Macaca mulatta: one gene and its partner. The main gene of each other region encodes a partner of the protein of the gene in region 2 in a complex. Links are inferred from orthologs where the notes say so. Each region holds a gene or a part of one and is shown on either strand. Other genes may lie near its edges.

Region 1 (10,551 bases), on a different chromosome or scaffold from region 2:
TCAAAAAAAAAAAAAAAAAAAAGGTTGGGGTAAAAAAATACAGCAATGATAAATAATTTTAGACAAGACTAAAAAATGAAGTGATGTTTTTATCTAAAGAAAATCCTGGGCCGGGCATGGTGGCTCACGCCTGTAATTCCAGCACTATGAGAGGCCGAGGTGGGCAGATCACGAGGTCAGGAGATCAAGACCATCCTGGCTGACACGGTGAAACCCCGTCTCTACTAAAAAATACAAAAAACTAGCCGGGCGAGGTGGCGGGCGCCTATGGTCCCAGCTACTCGTGAGGCTGAGGCAGGAGAATGGCATGAACCCAGGAGGCGGAGCTTGCAGTGAGCCAAGATCGCGCCACTGCACTCCAGCCTGGGCGACAGTGAGACTCCATCTCAAAAAAAAAAAAAAAAAGAAAAAAAAAAAAAAAGGCACCTCAGTGTGCAAATGTAATTTCACAGATACCCTTTTAGTGTTTTCCAGCCTTCTAACAATATAAAACCTCTCCCAAACACCCTCTATGTTCTGTAACAATGACCACACTTAAAATAATGTGTTTCTTCCTCAATCTGTTTGCATCACAAGGGCAGGGACTAGGTCTGTCTTGTTCTCCACTGTGAACTTGGTATCTACTTCTCTGGCACACAGCTGGCCCTCAATAAATAATAACTAAATGAAAACTTTTCTTAAAATTATCAAAAACTAAAAAGCAACTGTTTCCTCATTGATAATGTAATCATCTAAACATGTGTAAGGGTAACTAAACAGTATATAAACTGTTACATCACTAAAACAGACACCCCATCATGCTTTTAGAGAAGTTCTCTATACTGTTTAGACTTGGTTGCAAATAGTAAAATATGAAGTTTTCTTTCTCATGCCAGCCACATACCCATATAAAGTTGACTGGCCTTTATGAGATAGTATACTTCTTGTGGGCAGGATTTAAAGAGATTATCACCCTCTCTGCACCCTTTCAAAGCCAAACTTCTTGAAAATAATTTCCACAGACACCAACTCTATTACCTCACCTTCCATTTTTTCAATTACTCACCCAAACTGGCTTTTACTTCCACAACACTGAATCCAATCTTTCCAAAATCACCAAAAACTTCCTTATGGCTAAGTCCAGTGAACACAGTTTGGTCCTTCTCTTGTTCAACTCAATAGCTTTTTTTTTTTTTTTTTCCTTGTGGGGGTGGGTGTTAGAGAGTGGGTCTTGCTTGCCATGCTGCTCAGGCTGGTCTCCTGGACTCAAGTGATCCTCCTGCCTCAGCCACCTGAGTAGCTGTGACTACAGGCACATGACACTGTGCCCAGCGTCAGCCTCATTTTTGACATTGTTTTTGCTTTTCAGTTTTTTAGAGTTCTTCCTGTAACATGAACTGTATATTCACATAAACTACCACAGATGCCAGAAGAAGAAAAAAAGCTGGAATCTAACTCTCTACCCTTACAAACCCACTCATAACCTAAAGTAGTAAGAATGATTTTAACCCATACCTCCGCCCCAACCATCTTTGGAAACTAGATGTAATGAGGGTATAGAGGGCAGGGGAGGGTTTTTTGCTTTTTTTTTTTTTTTTTTTTTTTTTTTTTTGAGACAGAGTCTTGCTCTGTCTCCCAGGATGGAGTGCAGTGGCGCAATCTCAGCTCACTCCAACCTCCACCTCCCGGGTTCAAGCGATTCTCCTGCCTCAGCCTCCTAAGTAGCTGGGATTACAGGCATGCACCACCACGCCCAGCTATTTTTTGTATTTTTAGTAGAGATGGGGTTTTACCGTGTTGGTCAGGCTAGTTTCAAACTCCTGACCTCGTGATCCGCCCACCTCGGCCTCCCAAAGTGCTGGGATTACAGCCATGAGCCACCACTCCCAGCCAGTTTTTTTGCTTCTTAATTAAAAAAAGAAAAACAGGCCGGGCGCGGTGGCTCAAGCCTGTAATCCCAGCACTTTGGGAGGCCGAGACGGGCGGATCACGAGGTCAGGAGATCGAAACCATCCTGGCGAACACGGTGAAACCCCGTCTCTACTAAAAAATACAAAAAACTAGCCGGGCGAGGCGGTGGGCGCCTGTAGTCCCAGCTACTCGGGAGGCTGAGGCAGGAGAATGGGGTAAACCCGGGGGGCGGAGCTTGCAGTGAGCTGAGATCCGGCCACTGCACTCCAGCCCGGGCGACAGAGCCAGACTCCGTCTCAAAAAAAAAAAAAAAAGAAAAAAGAAAAACAGCAAGAATAAGCTATAAAATCTTTCTAAGTCATACCCAAAAGGATAAATAATGTATAAAGTCACCTAGCCCGATTTTATCATACATTTTGTAATTTTAAAAATGTATATTGTATTTCTGTACTTTAAATACTTCCTTTAATCTTTTTAGTAATAAAATATAGCAGTTTTTAATCATAACCATAAATGTTATATAACATTGACTGTAATACTGAAAACACAGTCAATTTACTTCACTTTAAGAACAGACAGGCCGGGCGCGGTGGCTCACGCCTGTAATCCCAGCATTTCGGGACGCCAAGGCAACTGGATCATGAGATCAGGAGATGGAGACCATCCTGGCTAACACAGTGAAACCCCATCTCTACTAAAAATACAAAAAATTAGCCAGGCGTGGTGGCAGGCACCTGTAGTCCCAGCTACTTGGGAGGCTGAGGCAGGAGAATTGCATGAACCTGAGAGGCGGAGCTTGCAGTGACCTGAGATCGCACCACAGCACTCCAGCCTGGGCAACAGAAAGAGACTCCGTTTCAAAAAACAAAACAAAAAAGAACAGACAAGACTCTTAGTAGACACATTGGCAGGCATCATAATTTTACTGAATTCACCTTATGCAATAAATTTTCTTTTAGAATCACACCAAAATTGGCTCTCTTTCTTCTTTCAGTAGAATTAAAATTTCCATACAAATTACAGACTTCAATCTTATTCATCAATACTAGACAGAAAAGTGTCATGTTGCTTCACACCAATTTCTTAGCTTTTCAATCCTGATATTCCTTCCCACTTGACAATAAACACAGTAACAAGAGTACTCAAATGACCTTGAAACTGTTGTTTCACTCACCACATAAATTTTTTTGCATCTTCTTATTCTTCAATAAATCAATTTCAAGAGCAAATTAATAAAATAATAACAATAATTAGGATTAATATCCCTGCAAGAATATTAACTAATTGCAAACGCCTACCTATTTTCCTCTCGGTGTGTTCTCTAGCTCTTTATTATAGATACAAAAACTATCTTTGTTAACAGATGACTTTAAGGACCACTGCCACACACACAAGGATGAAAGACTTTACTCAATGGCACAAATCAGTCAGAACTAAAAATGGAACTTAGATACCAAATGCAAGTCATTGAACTTATATTCTAATAGTTTAACAAAGTGATTTTTAAAACTACATAAAATTTACCAACCTTTTTTTTTTTTTTTTTGAGACAGCGCCTCACTCTGTTGCGCAGGCTGGAGGGCAGTGGTGCTATCTGGGCTCAATGCAGCCTCAAACGCCCAGGTTCAAGCAATTCTCGTGCCTCAGCCTTCCAAGCAGCTGGGACTACAGGTGTGCGCCATGGCGCCTGGCTAATTTTTTTTTTTTTTTTTTTTTTGCTAGAGATGGGGTTTCGCCATGTTGCCCAGGCTGGTCTCGAATTCCTGAGCTCAGGTGATCCATCCGCCTCAGCCTCCCAAAGAGCTGGGATTACAGGTGTCAGCCATCATGGCTGGCCCCATCTTAACCATTTCTAAGTGTATAGTTTAGTAGTGTTAACTATATTCACATTGTTAACAGTTTATGGTAACCTTTAACTATAATTCCTAACTTTATTTTTTTTAATATGGTTTTGGAAATGTATCCTCTTCCTAAATGTATTAATGGTTAGCTACAGAACAATTTTTTTTTTTTATTTCAAGAGTAGGGATTTAAGATAAGCTATTTTGACTTTGTGATATCATAAACATATATATGTAAACAAACAAGAGTCAGATTGAATGTGCCCCACTATACAAATGAGACAACGTGAGCATAAGGTAGAAATGTATTATCCTAAATAAGGATCTATGTATCCATAAATCCATAAATATGCAAGAAGATAATGTTCTTCCTTATAGTAGAATAACTAAAAAATGTAGAAGGTATCATGAAAATAGAAAATCACCATTTTGCATCACAGTAATCATTTCTCAGGTAAAAATCATCAACAGATGCTAAGACTGGGTAAAAGTCTGATGCGAAATAGAAGAGTCACATAGTCTCAATGTATCTCCTCATAAATTAGTTAAAAATTACAAAAGGAGGAGTATTAACTTGACAGTGCAGAAACCTGGCAAACAACACATTGGCTAAGTAACTAAAGTTAGCATTACCACTAATGGGATAAACCAACATTAAGTACCTCCTAATATGATGCACGGGGAACACAATACCACTTTTGTGATATTCTCACCAAGAATACATAACCTGAATCCAATCATGAGGAAACACCAGATAAACCCAAATTGAGTGACAGTCTGGAAAATAGAAGGCCTGTACTCTTCAAATACACCAATGTCATCAAACCCAAAGGAAGGCTGAGGAACCTTTCTAACAGAGTAAGAGAGACATGATAACCACTTGACATCTAGAGTATCTTAGACCAGAATAAGGAAAACTGCTACAAACTGTACTAATGGGACAACTGGCAAAATTGAACATCCAGAGATTAGAAAACAGTATTTTATGGTGAAACTTCCAGATATTGCCAATTACAGTGTAGTTAGAAAGTGAACCTCTTTGTTCTTTTAAAATATCACTGAATTATTTAGGAGTAAAGGGTACATTTGCAACATACTTTCAAATAGTTCAGACAGATAGTATTATGTATGTATGCGGAAAGATAAAGCACATGTGTCAAACTGCTAACAGGATGGGAAAACCAGGGGAAGGGTTTTGAGATTTCTCTGTACTATTCTTGCAACTTTTCTATAAGTGCAAATATTTCAAAATTTAAAAAGTTAAATACAGGTATATGTCCCTATTAATTTATGGGTTCACTTTAGAAGTCTTGCTACCATTTCTTTTATGCTAGAAATTCAAATCTCTCCAACATTCTTAATGACTTTAAAACAGCTATTCTACTTAGCTTGACTTCAAATTTTAAAAATAAGTCAAGGTCAAAGTCTTTGGCAAACCACAATGAGTATCTGGAAGTAATGTCTAACACATTAGCCAATGATGGGGATAGTAAGAATTACTTAATCATTCTATTTTTTTCTGTTAGCTCTACAAAGTTACTGAGTCCTAAATTCCATCCCCCACCACAATTATAATTTCACTGAGGCCAGACTTGTAATCTGTCCACAAAACTGTTTTCCAACTGCTGCATAGACCAGCATTCTTCTGGCTCAGGTTCCCAGAATTTCCCCAAATTCATGACTTTCACTTGTTTATATCCAGATCCCCTAATGGGAGAAAATACGTCCTGAGGGGAAGACAGGACACTAACCTGAAAGACATGGGTTTGAACTCTTTAGGGGAAGGCAGGGTCAGACTTTTTATCAAACAAGGAATACGCACAAGAAAAAAGATGTCTACAGCCAGGCGCGGTAGCTCAGGCCTGTCATTCCAGGACTTTCGGAGGCCGAGGCAAGTGGATCACTTAAGGCCAAGAGTTCAAGACCAGCCTGGGCAATATGGCGAAACCCCGTCTCTACCAAAAAAAAAAAAAAAAAAAAAAAAATTAGCCAGGAGTGATGATGCACACCTGCGGTCCCAGCTTCTCAGGAAGCTGAGGTGGGAGAATCGCTTGAACCCGGGAGGCGAAGGTTGCAGTGAGCCCATATCGTGCCACTGCACTCCACTCTAGCATGGGCAACAGAGTCAGACCTTGTCTCTTAAATAAATAAAAAAAAAAAGTCTAATGTCTACAGACATCTAGAAAGAGCTCCAGCTATGCCTCAGAGAGAAAAATCCCAGGAGTGGATGGGGAAATATTCATGCACAGAAAAAAAAAAAAAAGGAGAAAAGGTACAAACCATCAGGTAAGTTTCTGACCCAGGTTTACCAATCTTGTTTCTCATTTCACCTAAATGTAAACTTGGAAAACTATAGAATCCACAATATAAATTATTGTTACTCGACTGGTGCCTGGTCAGTCTCCAAATAGTACTCTCCCACATCATGAGAACAAAAATGTTTCCTATCAGTCCTTCTCACAACAGAAGAGAAAAACGTGGTTTGTCACTAATGAAACACTGAAAATGTACCACTGTCACCAGTTAAGCTATTTAACCTACAATCTGCTGGTTAAAAGCAGGTCAGCCTGCAGCATATAAAAAGACGTCTGCCTTTCAAAACTGGCTAAAGCTGTCAAATCTGATCACAGGTTTTACAAATACAATCGCCTCAACTCAGCCCTGCTCCATAAACCAGAAAGCAGAGCCAGCTTCCATAACTGGCCACGCCGCCTCCCACCCCCCCGCCCCACCCCCGCCCTTGACAGTGAGTGGGTCGGAGCGGCCACAATGCGCCCAAAGTGTTTAATTCTTCCAGAAATGCCGGCCTCCGGGAGGAATGCAGGTTTGAAACTGTCCCCAACAGGGCATTCCCCGGCGACATTTTGCTCCCTCGGGTGTGGAGCAAGTGTGGAGGGCCTGGCGGCCCGAAAGTGTCCAGAGTGACCGACAAATGTGGGAAGCGTCAGGGCAGAGAGTGGGCTAGAAGGGGCAGCAGACGCTCAAATTCACACCATTCGGAGTCACCCTGACCCCCAACCTCTGACTTCTGCCCCGAACTGGCGGCCCCGAAGGAGTCCAGGGCAGGCCCCAGAACTTTGGACCCAAGTCCCAGGCGGGGACCGGCCTGTGGGCGCGTGGGCTGGTCGGGTCTGAGGGAGCGGTGACGTTTGCAAGACCCTATAGGGACGGCGGGTTGACGGGGGACCGTCCCTGGGTTCGCCTTCCCAGTCCGGACTCACCGCCCGTCGGAGCTGCCCCGGAGCCGCAGCTCGGAACATGTTCTCTGCTTCCGCCGCAACCTCGGCCTCACAGCAACCCCGTGCCCGGCCAACTGGCGTCGCCTCAGCCAGTCACCTAATGCTCGCGAGACGCGCGAACGAGATCAGACGCCCTAGGCTGGGAGCGCGAGCCCGCGGTTCCCGCCTGCCCATTGGGCGGCTGCGCAGCCAATAGACGGCGGGAAGTTAGGGGCTAGACTGGGAAGTGGGGCAAAGGTGAGGCTATTCCCAGGGGACCTTCGAGTAATCCCGGGCCGCGGAGCTGCAGCGACAAAGCTGGCCACCCGCTGATGACCGAGCTCAGACTGTACTGTCTCACTGCCCCGCAATGGGCAGCATTACTAGAGTGAACTGAAAAACTGAGCTGATCTCGGGTTAAGGTATGAGTGGAGCCTTGCTAACTCCAATTAGATACCTTTCCCATATGCCCCTATTTCCCCCTGTATTTCCCCATGGTAGCAATTGTCACATGGGTTGTAATGACCTAAGTACTTGTCTGTGTCACCCATCTGACTAAAGATCTGTAAGGGCAGAAAGTATGCCCTACTTTTAAATTTTCTGTCTACCTGCGACACCTAGCACAATTCCTGGCCCTCACTAGGCATTCAATCAGTATGTGTTGAATGAATCAGCAAATGAATAAATGACTGCTAATGAGTCTGGACTTTATCACGAAATTTTTAAGAAAGGAAGTGGTATGTTCAGAAATTGTCTTAATTCCCATTTCAGCAACAACCTACCTTTCCAATGTTATCTAGTCTATCAACAAATCCCGTTAACTCTACCTTCAAAAGATAACCAGAATCCAGCAATATCCTCCAACACCCCTTTGCTCCTCCGCCAGTACCACCTTCACTCAGGACCCTGTCATCTCTTGCCTGGATCATTGCAAAGCCTCCTAGCTGGTCTTTATGTTTCTACCCATGTTTCCAGAAGCCTCTTCTCCAAACTGATGGACTGATCATGACCTCTGCTCAAAGCCCTAGGGTGGCTCCCTCTCCTCCCACTGCCCTCTTCTCTGACTGTGCCCCAGACACACGGGCCTTCTTGAGCACACAAGCCTGCTCCTCTCAGAGCTTTGCACTCTGGCTGTTCCCTCTGCCTGAAATGCCCTTCTCTTGTTACCCACGTGGCTTACTTCCTCACTTCATTCAGGTCTCTGCTCAAAAAACACATTTGCAGAAAGGCCGACCTTGGCCTCTCTACCTGAAATGGCACCCATGCCACTCCCAGATGCCCTATCACGGTGTTTGATTTTTCTTCTTGGCATTTGTCACCGCCTAACAGGATGCACGTGTTTGTTTGTTTATTGCAGATCTCCCGGCATTGGAGTGTAAATTCCCTGGAGCAAGAGCTTTGTCTGAACCAACAATCTCTCTAAGGGCCCAGTGCTTTAGCTCTTCCCTCTGTCTGAAATTCCCTTCCCCATCTGACAGGCCTCTTTAAAACCCAGATCAAGTGACAATTCTTTTGTTTTGTTTTGTTTAAGACAAGGTCTCTGTTTCCCAGGCTGGAGTGCAGTGGTGCCATCACAGCTCACTGCAGTCTCGAACTCCTGGGATCAAGCAATCTTCCTGCCTCAGCCTCCCAAGTAGCTGGGACTACAGTCATGTGCCACCATGCACAGCTATTTTTTTTTTTTTGTAGGGGTAGGGTCTCACTCTGTTACCCAGGGCTGGTCTCGAACTCCTGGCCTCAAGTGATCCTCCCACCTTGGCCTCTCAAAGTACTGGGATTACAGACATGAGCCACCATGCCTGGCTCAAGTGACATTTCTTTTGTAAGCTCTTTCTCAATTTTCCAGGATGAATTAATCCTTTCCTCTTCTTCACTCTTCTAGCTCTATGAACAAGGAGGTGAGGACCCATCTTAAACTTAAGTCGCACCCACTGTGAACATGTCTGAACTCATGTTACAGACAGAGCTGTGGACCCCTGCCCCCCAGTCAATCTGCCTGTGGGAGGGGCAATTTAGTATTCCATGTCTCACTGTATTTGCCTCCTAACCCAGTCCCGCACTGGACTAGAATCTGAGACCTATGGGAGTGGAAGGAAGAGGGAAGGGTACTTTTGGTTCCTACCAAAAGGATATTTTACTAAAAACCATGTAAAAGACTGGGCTACAAACTAACCTCCTTCCCTGCCTCCCCACCCATGACAAAGCAAAACACAAGGGGAGAGCGGCTGCCCCGCCCCGCCCCCACTGGGCAGATTCAGCAGCTCCCAGGCTTGGGCAAATCAATAGCAGCTGTGCATGGCAGAGGCTTGTTGCCCCTGGGAGTTCCTGGTAGAACAGGTCAGAGCTGAGGGAGAGGCTGAAAATGGGCAAAGTCTGTGACACCTTGTTCTGATCACACATGACTTGTTCTGATCACACATGAAATGCCCCCTGAGTCTTTGGGATGAAGGGATATCAGAGTTCTACAATCACAACCACATCATGTACCAGAGAAATGTGTGTGCTAAGACATTTCTATTAGAGGATTTTCCCTAGAGGTATACAACTTTCCTACTCCGTTACGAGCTGCTTTGGTGGCAGGACCTATGGTTTCCTTTTATTTACTTATTTTTATTTTATTTATTTTTGAGACGGATTCTCGCTCTGTCACCCAGGCTGGAGTGCAGTGGCGCGATCTCAGCTCACTGCAACCTCCACGTCCTGGGTTCAATCGATTCTCCTGCCTTAGCTTCCCGAGTAGCTGGAATTATGGGTGCCCACCACCATGCCCAGCTAATTTTTGTATTTTTAGTAGAGACGGCGTTTCACCATGTTGGTCAGATTGGTCTCGAAACCCTGACCTCAGGTGATCTGCCTGTCGCGGCCTCCCAAAGTGCTGGAATTACAGGCGTGAGCCTCTGTGCCCAGCCTATTTTTCTGGTTCTCATTTTTAGACGTTCAGCGAACATTTATAGAAATATGTGTCCAATGGGCTAGGTGCAATGACTTACACCTGTATCCTAGCACTTTGGGAGGCCTAGGTGGGCGGATCACTTGAGGTCAGGGGTTCAAGACCAGCCCGGCCAACATGGCGAGACCCCCACCTCCGGTACTACTAAAAATACAAAAATTAACCAAATGTGGTAGTGTGTTCCTGTAATACTACCTACTCGAGCGGCTGAGGCATGAGAATCACTTGAACCTGGGAGGCAGCGATTGCAGTGAGCCAAGATTACACCACTGCACTCCAGCCTGGATGACAGAGCAAGACTCCATCTCAAAAAAAAAGAAAAAAGAAAAAAAGAAAGTAAATATTTGTCCAAAGAAGAAAGGGCAGAAAAGAGAGGGTGGAGGAAGGATTCAAGGACTGCCACAGCCAACCCTTGAAGATGATTCCAGCATATTTGGAGCAACACCTCTTTCTCTTCCACAGGTCAATTTCAGGAGCGACTCCTCCAGGATTCCTGCTGGAAACTTGGAAGAGAAAGGTCCCTGGGACAAACTATAGCCCCAGCTGCTGCAGGTCTCTGGGGGTCACAACTGGTATTCATCATCTCCTTCCTCAGTATCCATTCTAAATCTCCCCCTCGTGCAGCTAGCACCTCCCCTGGTCTGAGTGGCTA
Region 2 (10,721 bases):
TTATAGATATTTTCATTTTACAGATAAAGAACCAGATGCAACTGGTTCAAGGAATAGACCCTTATTGAACTTCAAAATCTCCCTCCCAAACAATTATATCTATCTCATCCTCTGTCACTCAGTGAACCACCATAGATTTCTCCTGCGAGGCTCTTACTAGTGAGAGTCAAATTGTAAGTGACAAGCAATCATACCAAATTAATGCTAATTATCTCAGTAAGATCCACTGCCCTGGCTGGGCATGGTGGCTCATGCCCATATCCCACTTTGGGAGGCCAAGACGGGTGGATCACTTGAGGCCAGGAGTTCGAGACTAGCGTTGCCAACATGGCGAAACATCATCTCTACTAATAATATAAAAATTAGCCAGGCGTGGTGGCCCACACCTGTAATCTCAGCTACTTGGGTGGCTGAGGTAAGAGAATCACTTGAACCCAGGAGGCAGAGGTTGCAATAAGCCCAGATGGAGCCACTGCAATCCAGCCTGAGTGACAGAGGAAGACCATCCCAAACAGCTATCCTCATACTGCTTGAAAACTTTCATTTAGTCTTGGGTTACAGAAAGAGAAAAAAGAAAAAGAAAAAAAAAAAAAAGAAAATTTTCATTCAGGCTGGGCACAGTAGTTCATGCCTGCAATCCCAGAACTTTGGGAGGCAGAGGAGGGTGGATCACTTGTCATCAGGAGTTTGAGACCAGCCTGGCCAACATGGCAAAACCCCATCCCTACTAAAAATATAGAAATTAGCCAGGCAAGGTGACCCACACCTGTAGTCCCAGCTACTCAGGAGGTTAAGGCAGGAGAATCACTTGAACCTGGGAGGCAGAGGTTGCAGTGAGCCACTGCACAGCAGTGTGGGTGACACAGTGAGACTCTGTCTCAAAAAAAAAAAAAAAAAAAAAAAGAAAGAAAGAAAAGAAAATTTTCATTCAGTCTTTGGCTAGAGGTCACAGAAAGAAAAAAACAAAACACAGCAAATTTTCATTTGGTCTGGGTGCAGTGGCTCATGCCTATAATCCCGGCACTTTGGAAGGCTGAAATAAGAGAACTGCTTGAGCCCAGGAGTTTAAGATCGGCCTGGGCAACATAATGAGACAATGAAACCTCATCTTTTCTGAAAGAAAAAGAAAAAGAAAAACTTCATCAAATTTGGTTAAAAAACCAAAAAAAACTTTATAAAGAAAAGGGAAAAATCTTTAAAAACATAACAATAAAAACAAACAATAACTCTGGAGAGCTTTGAGACTGTCATTTGTACCTAGCTGTGATTATCTCAGCTGCCTTTAACTATTTTCTGAGACCAAATGAATTGAGTAAATGGTTTTTAACTAGAGAAAAAATAAAAATTTTGAAGAAGCACTTTAGATGGCCAAGAATGCCAAAGATAGATATTATTATTTCACATTTTTTGACTGTGGTTTTCATTTTATAGAGGAGGGAGGAAGAAAAATCATATTCCTTTTCCTTACAACAACTACATGGCTCCCTGGTGCCAGGAGTGAGAACTTCACCTAATAGTACCAAAATTGCAATGTGGATATATTATAGCAAAAACAAGCTTTAGCTTATTACCAGGCACCTAGCATTGTAATCTCACAAGTGTTTTAAAATGTATTTGTGGCATTCAGATATATAAGTTGAAGACTATTCATATATATCAGTAAATCTCATTGATTTTGGGCTAAACACTTAGAAAAAAAGGAAGGAATATAAGTGTATGTATACTACTAACACAGATTTAATGTATAGTATAGTATACTGAGGAAGAAAATGAGATCAGGAAAAATGGGTGTGAGTTACTGGGAACGATCTGTGGACGGTGGACTGGTCCTACTCATTGAAAGACATTATTAAGTTTATTTACAAATGTACTCCAAACAAATACATAGACAGAGCTTCTTATGTGTAAGTTTAAAGTCAAAAGATAGAACAGAACATATACCAAAACTAAATCCTAATCCTGGTTCACGCTGTCGATCGGCTTTTGTATGCTGTGATCTCCAATGAAAATGAGAAATACTTCTCAGGACCTGTAAAGAACAGTTTTATTAAAATAAATTTGATAACTTAAACATTAATCAGATAAGAGACTACTCATAATTGTAAGTGAGTACAACAACTTGTTTGACCATACTCATAGTTTTTAAAGTCATCACTATTTAAATGCCTTCAATCATAATTTAAATAAGTCAATTACCAGTTATATAAACTCCTATGACAGAGGAGATGTTTTTAAAAAGTAATGAAAATAAAGTCAGTGGTATTTACACTACTGAAGTGGAGGATTTAGGACAAACAACAGTCAAGGGTACTAGTAGATGTAGGACCACTATTCTGGGTATCTTATAAGCTCCTAGGACTTTGATGGTTGGAGAGCTGGGGTGGGAAGAACGATAGGTGGAAAGTGAACATACTGTGTTCAAGAGTTGCCTAGTCCATCAACTTTGATACCCTGTCCCTGTGAGCCTCCCATGCATGCCTCTGGGAACCTTCCCCTCAGAGGATCTCATTTTTTAGGATACCCCACTCTAACAAAACAAATTAGCATAAAACCATGTTCTGTATTTTCTGCTGTCTACAGGCATTCTTACAATGTTCTGAGCAAGGAGTCACCAAACTATGGCAGCCACATCATGCTGTCTATTGCTGCTTTCACAGCAGATCTAAGTAGTTACCACTGAGACCATATGGTTCACAAAGCCAAAAACATGTACTATCTGCTCCTTTTCAAAAAACGTTTGCCATCCCTGTTCTAAACTACTAATACATTTCTTGTCTTAGGATGTGAAATACACTCATATTTCTTCAAAGGAACATATAAAGAAACAAACAATCAAATATACATATATTATTGTTTTGCAACCCGTTTTTATATTCATGACAGCTTAATGGATACAAAAGTAAAAATCTGCATTTATTAAAGCCGCCAAACTGGGAACCACAATGGTGTTCCTGTATAAAGGTGTCAGGACAGCCAAAATTACACAATTTTCACTGTAAAAGAGTTTAACTGAACTATCTGGCAATTTTAACAAGCTGAGATACTAAGAGAAAAGAGAAGCTGAAGAATATACTAAAGTTTCTACATTTAAATTCTTATGTTTTTCAAAATCTGTAAAAAGAAACTGTCTTTGTAGATGACAATTTCAACTTATACAGAGGATTTCCTACATGGAAGGTGACAATATAATTAAGAGTATCAAATATTTGTAACTGAAACAGCGCTTTCAAAATAACATAACTCATACTACAATTAAAAAACACACACACACACACAGAGTATGAAAACTCGCATTATCTTTGCAACTTCATTCATTTTATTTTGAAAGTGAAACAGTGCCAGGCGGGGTGGCTCATGCGTGTAATCCCAGCACTTTGGGAGGCTGAGGTGGGTGGATCACAAGGTCAGGGGTTTGAGACCAGTCTGACCAACATGGTGAAACCCCATTTCTACTAAAAATACAAAAGTAAGCCAGGTGTGGTGGTATGTAGTCCCAGCTACTCGGGAGGCTGAGGCAGGAGAATCACTTGAACCCAGGAGGCGGAAGTTGCAGTGAGCCTAAACTGCACCATTGCATTCCAGCCTGAGTGACAGAGCAAGACTTCGTCTCAAAAAAAAAAAAAAAAGTGAAACCGTTTCTCTGGTCCTTATTGTCCAGCAGTCACAGACCAAATCTACTCTGATTTACAGTCACATTACACAGGTTAATTCACTGAATCCTAGGTCAAGTCTAGGATTAAGTTATTACTTTTATTCCATTTTCGCATGTGAAGAAACGAAGGCTCAGAAAGTCAACTAAATTAGGCAAAGTCACTCTACTATTAGTGCAACCAGGATTCTAACATTTACTATCAAGAGCCCATGCTATTAACCACCTTGCTATACTCATCTTTCTGTTAGTATCCTAATTGGTCACTAGGTTTCATAACAAAGGAAAACATTCTGCAAAAATCAGAACCAAAAAACTGACTATTATAAATGCGTTTTTAAATCCCATGCACAAAAGTCAGAACTCAAACCAGGTTAAATGGTCTACTGAGAGACTTTTTTTGACAGTCTCCCTCTGTCACCCAGGCTGGAATGCAGTGGGGAGATCGCTGCTCATTGCAAACTCAGTCTCCTGGGATTACAGGCGTATGCTACCATGCCCAGCTAATTTGTCGTATTTTCAGTAAAGACAGGGTTTCCCTACGTTGGCCAGGCTGGTCTTGAACTTCTGGCCTTGAGTGATCCACCCGCCTAGTCCTCCCAAGGTGCTAGGATTACAGGCGTGAGCCACCGCGTCCGGCCAACCGAGAGACTTTAAATAGGGAAAAAGTCACTTCACATGTGACTGTTCAGGAAAATATGTTACATAGAACAAAGTGCAAAGGTTGCTATTACCAGAATACAATGTCCATCAACCTGTTAATTACACAACAAAGTTAGCCAGTTAGAGAGGTGGTTTACAAATAGAAAACAGAAATAGGAAGGGATCTGGAGTTACAATTGCTGAATTTGAATCTAGGTTCCACAACTATATTTATGGCCGTAGACAGGTTACAAACTGCTTATAGCTTCCGTTCAAAACCGAAAAATGGTGCTAATCTCACTGCGTATTTTTGAACGATTAAAGTAAGATAATGTTTTGAAAGCCTAATGCTATATAAATATTGGTTTTATTACCTCGGGCTCTCTGTCTAGAACAATGAAATTCCAAATATCGAAATAGCACCATTAGAATTGAACACTTTTGTGCATTTCTTGGGAATATAAAAGTGTTAGTTTTATGGGTTAAAGAAGAGAAAAAGGGTATACGTTTTCTCTATCAGGTTTTTTTTTAGATCCTTCCTTGGAAGGTTCAGAAATCTGCTTTTCTGGTGTTGGAGTTAAAAATAGCTGAAATCCCCCAATTTCTGCCTTCACTGCACATTAACTTGAATAACAGCAGTAAAATATGGGCAGCAATTCTTTAGGATTATTCTAAAACCTCAGCTTTTTTGGTCAAAGACATAACTTTAACTTAATTTTAAGTGACATCTAAATGGCAGTCGTGTGAACATGTCAAGAATATTTAAGATACCAAAGTGCATCTAATGACAAACTTATTTAGAATCTGTTAAGACCCAATACTAGAATATACAGACAAGTTCACATAAAATCCTGCGGTAGGTTTTTTCTTTTACTTTTTTTTCCCAGTAAGCAACGTGGAAGCGTCCTCCACCATATTACACAACGAAAAGCTTACTAAACATATTAAGTATCTCAAGGAGTAGCTGCTCCATTTTCATTTTTCCCGTGGTTCTGACACAGAGACCGGGTCACTTCGGGAAAAGGTGGGATTCCCGGGGTAAATATTTGGAGGGTTTACCAGAGAAAGAAAAACGATATTCTAAAGAGAGGATGCCGGCTATAACGGGGTCGGCTGACGGGAGGATACGGAAAATGAAACGCCAGGCTACATTCCGTCCGGTGGTAGGAGGCGTGAAAGCAGGTGGGGACCCCTAGGCAGGCAAGCTCCTTCCTCAACCCGACTTCCCACTCCTCCCGGCCGCACCTATTTTTGGTCCAGGGCCCCGTGCTCCCACACAATATCCATGTCCCTGCCCCTACCGCACCGCTGGGCTCTCTCTCACCCTGCAGCATCGCCCGAAACCCGCTGCCATGTTGGCTCCCGTTCGGCCACTAGGACAATATTACACGGGTCACGGCCTTGACAGACTCCCCCAGCGCCGGACTCCGCTGGTCCCGCCCACTGGGGCCCGTGGGCGGGATGGGGCGGGGCGGGGCGGGAAGAGGCGGCTGGGCAGCGGAAGGAGGGGGCACTGCGCCAGGCCGGGTGAGAGCCGTCGGGGTGGGAGCGGTCGCCGGCCGGGGTATTCAACGCATGCTCCATGACCCTTGCCTGCGTCGTGGGTGCGACCTGGGGAGGGGTTGCATCCCCTCTACCGGCAATCCCTGATAAGCCTGGTCTGGTTCTCTGCCTGCCCACGTCTTGCCTTCTCTGTGGGACGCCGAGGCTGATACTAGCGCGGAGAGAGAGCCAGGGCGGAGGAGAAGGACGGGGCGGGGCTGGGAGGGCCGGGTGGCGCTGAATGGTGGGGGACGTGCGGCACGGTGCAGGATGGGAAACTGGGTGAGAGGGCGCGGCTGGGACTTGGAAGGAGAGCGGCCCCGTGCTCAGCCTTCACCTTCACCCGCAGAGAACGGTCAAACCCAGATTGTGTCTGCTTGGCGGATTCAAAGTATTAATACATTTTGCTCTCAAATGCCTTAACTAAAGCAAAGGCATGTTTGTGTTTCCTTAAAATTTAAAAGAGAATTTAATTGCTTACGTAAATTTGACCTTTCCACGTATTTCCAAGGCTATTTATGACTTGTGGGCTGATGTGGATGTGGTGTCCTTGGTATGCGGGTGCAGTAGAGGCTGTCTAAAGCTCGTGGTCAGCCAATGATGGAAGTGAATGTCTCCCTGAGGAATTCTAGGTGGAGTCACTTTCTCTTCCAGTAAGACCCTGAGTTTTGAGAGAGTTTTGAGATGGTAGCTGGAATGTTTTAAAATGGGTGTTTGTGAAACTGTCCAGGTTTAGATACCTCGTTGTTAAAGCTAATAAAAGCCCAAATGCAAGCCTTCAGTGTCAGGCCTCTGAACCCAAGCTAAGCCATCATATCCCCAGTGACCTGCATGTATACATCCAGATGGCCTGAAGCAACCGAAGATCCACAGAAGTGAAAATAACTTAACGGATTGTGATTTGTTTCTGCTCACCCTAACTGATCGATGCACTTTGTAATCTACCCAACTCTTAAGAAGTTTCTTTGTAATTCTCCCCACCCTTGGGAATGTACTTGTTGAGCTTCACCCCCTGTCCCCAAAACATTGCTCTTAACTTCACCGCCTGTCCCAAAACCTGTAAGAACCAATGATAATCCCACCACCCTTTGCTGACTCCTTTTTCGGACTCAGCCCGCCTGCACCCGGGTGAAATAAACAGCCATGTTGCTCACACACACCCTGTTTGGTGATCTTTTCACACGGACATGTGAAACATGCAGTGTAAATGTTTCCCATGTTACTCGGGACTCTTCCCTTTCATTGCTGCCATCCTAGTTTACGCCTTGGTCACTACACCCCTAAATCTTACACTAACAACATTTTCTTTTGCCCAATAAAGGTCAGCCATAAATTCATTCTAACTTGGCTGTTAAAATTTTATATCCTGTTATTGTATTCTCCTACTTTGTCTTCTGGGAGTTTAGTGTGTTAGTCCTAGGTACAAGGCAGAATGTTAATTAAGCAGTATATTCAGAGTAAAAGTACCAGGAAAATTCAGAAAAGAGATAAAGAACTGAGTTTGTCCTGGTAGAGGCAAGAAAGCCGTCAAAGTGGTGTCATTCACGTCCGTGTGAAGAGACCACCAAACAGGCTTTGTGTGAGCAATAAAGCTTTTTAATCACCTGGGTACAGGTGGGCTGAGTCCGAAAAGAGAGCGAAGTGTGGCCGTTTTATAGGATTTGGGTAGGTAAAGGAAAATTACAGTCAAAGGGGGGTTGTTCTCTGGAGGGCAGGAGTAGGGGGTCACAAGGTGCTCAGTGGTGGAGCTTTTGAGCCAGGATGAGCCAGGAAAAGGAATTTCACAAGGTAATGTCATCACTTAAGGCAAGGACTGGCCATTTTCACTTCTTCTGTGGTGGAATGTCATCAGTTAAGGCAGGCAGGGCATTTTCACTTCTTTTGTGATTCTTTGGTTACTTCAGGCCATCTGGGCATGTATGTGCAAGTCTCAGGGAATGCGATGGCTTGGCTTGGGCTCAGAGGCCTGACATTCCTGCCTTCTTATATTAAGAAAAATAAGACAAAATAGTGTTGAAGTGTTGGGGCAGCAAAAGTTTTTGGGGGGTGGTATGGAGAGAGAGAATGGGCGATGTTTCTCAGGGCTGCTTCAAGTGGGATTGGGGTGGCGTGGGAACCTAGAGTGGGAGAGATTAAGCTGAAGGGAGATCTTGTGGTAAAAGGTGATATTATGGGGTTGTTAGAAGGAGCATTTGTCACATAGAATGATTGGTGATGGCCTGGATGCGGTTTTGTATGAACTGAAAAACTAAACGGAAGACACAAGGTCTGTATAAGAAAAGGAGAAAAAACAGGTATTAAAGGACTAAGAATTGGGAGGACCTAGGACAGCTAATTAGAGAGAGCCTAAGGGGGGGGGAGTCAGCATAATTACTTGCTTGGTTGGTGAGTTTTTAGGCTCTAAGTTTTTGGGGTGCAGTTCAAGGTGGGCTGGTGTCGGGAATGAGACTGGGACCTAATAAAAAGGAGTGCCTATACAGGAGCTTAAATGGGCAGTCGCCTCTAGCATTCCAAGGACAGGCCTGAATTCTGAGAAGGGAAAGTGGTAGAAGTATTGTCTAGTCCTTTTTATGTCGGGGACTGAGCTTGGTGAGGTGTGTTTTTAAAAGACCATTAGTCCATTCTACATTTCCTGAAGATTGAGGATGCTAAAGGATATAAAGGTTTCACTGAATCCCAAGAGCCTGAGAAACTGCTTGGGTGATTTGACTATTAAAGGCTGGTCATTATCAGACTGTATAGAGGTATGAAGGCCAAACCGAGAAAGAAGGAAAGAAATGACCGCAGTGGCCTTCTCAGACCCTGTGGGAAAGGCCTGTACCCATCCAGTGAAAGTGTCTACCTAGACTAAGAGATATTTTAGTTTTCTGACTTGGGGCGTGTGAGTAAAGTCAATTGGCCAGTCCTGGGCAGGGGTAAATCCCTGAGCTTGATGTGTAGGAAAGGGAGGGGGCCTGAGAAATTCCTGAGGAGTAGTAGAATAGCAGACGAAACACTGAGAAGTGATTTCTTTGAGAATAGATTTCTAGGATGGAAAGGAAATGAGAGGTTCTAAGAGACAGGCTAGCGGCTTGTAACCTAGATGGAAGAGGTTATGAAATGACGACAGAATAGAATGGGCCTGTGAGGCTGGATGGAGATATTTTCCTTGGTCAAGAACCATTTGCCTTGTGTGGGAAGAGATTGATAGGTGGAAGTTTCAGTGGGGAAGTAGGTGAGAGTGAGAAGGAGGAAAACTGCTGTGAGGGGTAGAAGTTGGAACGCTAGCTGCTTTTTTAGCTAACTTATCAGCATAAGCATTGTCCTGAGCGATGGAATCTGATGCTTTTTGATGGCTGCTTTTTAGTTACTTTATCAACATAAGCGTTGTCTTGAGTGATGGTTGGGGGAAGAAAATAGATTTGGAAGTTATGAGAACTGTAGAGAGTTGAGCATAGTTTGTGATTTTTAAGGCCACTAACAGTATTAAAGTGGTGGCAGCTGCTACACACAGACATGAGGGCTAGGCTAAAACAGTAAGTTCAAGTTGTTTGGACAGGAAGGCTACAGGACGTGGTACAGTATTAAAGCAGTGGCAGCTGCTGCATGCAGACATGAGGGCTAGGCTAAAACAGTAAGGTCAAGTTGCTTGGACAGAAAGGCTACAGGACACGGTCCCAACTCTTGTGTACGAATTCTGACCGCACTAACCATGCCTAGGAAGGAAAGGAGTTGTTTTGTAGAAGGGATTGGGCTTTGGGAGATTAGCTAGACATGATCAGCAGGGAGAGTGTCAGGCTTTTGAGCCCAAGCCAAGCCATCACATCCCCTGTGACTTGCACGAATACCCCCAGATGGCCTGAAGTAACTGAAGAATCAAAAGAAGTGAAAATGCCCTGCCCTGCCATGACCAATGACATTCCACCACAAAAGAAGTGAAAATGGCCGGTCCTTGCCTTAACTGATGACATTTCACTAAGGGAGGAGACCACCCCTCATATTGTCTTATGCCCAATTTCTGCCTCCAAAGAAAGAAGAAGTAAAAACAAAAAGGCAGAAATGAAATCCACAGGCAGACAGCCCGGCACCGTACCCTGGGCCTGGTAGTTAAAGATCGACCCCTGACCTAATTGGTTCTGTTATCTATAGATTACAGACAGTGTATAGAAATGCACTGTGAAAATCCCTATCTTGTTTTGTTCCGATCTAATTACTGGTGCACACAGCCCCCAGTCACATACCCCCTGCATGCTCAATCAATCACGACCGTCTCACATGCACCCCCTTAGAGTTGTGAGCCCTTAAAAGGGACAGGAATTGCTCACTCGGGGAGCTCGGCTGTTGAGACTAAAGTCTTGCCGATGCCCCCGGCCGAATAAACCCCTTCCTTCTGTAACTCGGTGTCTGAGGAGTTTTGTCTGCGCTCGTTCTGCTACATTTCTTGGTTCCCTGACCGGGAAGCAAGGTGAATGGTGGATGGTCAAGGCAGCTCCTTAGGCGGCTTAAGCCTGCCCTGTGGAACATCCCTTCAGGGGACTCAGACCAGCCCGAGCAACGCGGATCCTGAGAGCGCTCCCGGGTAGGCATTTCCCCCAGTGGGATGCTTCACCAGAGCAGTGTGTGGCAGGCCCACGTGGAGGATCAACGCAGTGGCTGAACACCTGGAAGGAACGGGCACTTGGAGTCTGGACATCTAAAACTTGGTAAGACTAGTCTTTGAAACTTGCCCACTCCGTTTGAGTGGAAGCGTGGCCTGATCACCGACGGTGTGCCTTTATCGGCACTTTGGTTTTGGTTTTGACTTGGTTTGAATTGCTTGACAGGATTGGTCTTGGGAACTTGCCTACTCCATTTGAGTGGAAGCGTGGCCTGATCACCCATGGTGTGCCTGTACCAGCACTTTGGTTTT

Evidence for each region. The genes of interacting proteins can lie anywhere in the genome.
Region 1: the proteins of ACADM (region 2) and ETFA are in contact, whole or in part, in a crystal structure (PDB 2A1T), measured with the Homo sapiens proteins. The link is inferred for Macaca mulatta from reciprocal best matches to the Homo sapiens genes ACADM and ETFA. Residues at the interface, in NP_000007.1 of Homo sapiens: Pro163, Lys173, Pro211, Gln232, Arg235, Glu237, Val251, Glu253; in NP_000117.1 of Homo sapiens: Arg223, Lys226, Arg249, Asp253, Ala283, Ile284, Gln285, Glu304.

Annotation. Positions count from the first base shown.
Region 1 is NC_133412.1:54,428,439-54,438,989, forward strand, and holds the start of ETFA (electron transfer flavoprotein subunit alpha, mitochondrial), read right to left. Parts: upstream 7,056-10,551; 5' UTR 6,992-7,055; coding exon 6,953-6,991; intron 1-6,952. UniProt on the Homo sapiens protein: Heterodimeric electron transfer flavoprotein that accepts electrons from several mitochondrial dehydrogenases, including acyl-CoA dehydrogenases, glutaryl-CoA and sarcosine dehydrogenase.
Region 2 is NC_133406.1:164,848,260-164,858,980, forward strand, and holds the start of ACADM (medium-chain specific acyl-CoA dehydrogenase, mitochondrial), read right to left. Parts: upstream 6,008-10,721; 5' UTR 5,646-6,007; coding exon 5,616-5,645; intron 2,030-5,615; coding exon 1,942-2,029; intron 1-1,941. UniProt on the Homo sapiens protein: Medium-chain specific acyl-CoA dehydrogenase is one of the acyl-CoA dehydrogenases that catalyze the first step of mitochondrial fatty acid beta-oxidation, an aerobic process breaking down fatty acids into acetyl-CoA and allowing the production of energy from fats.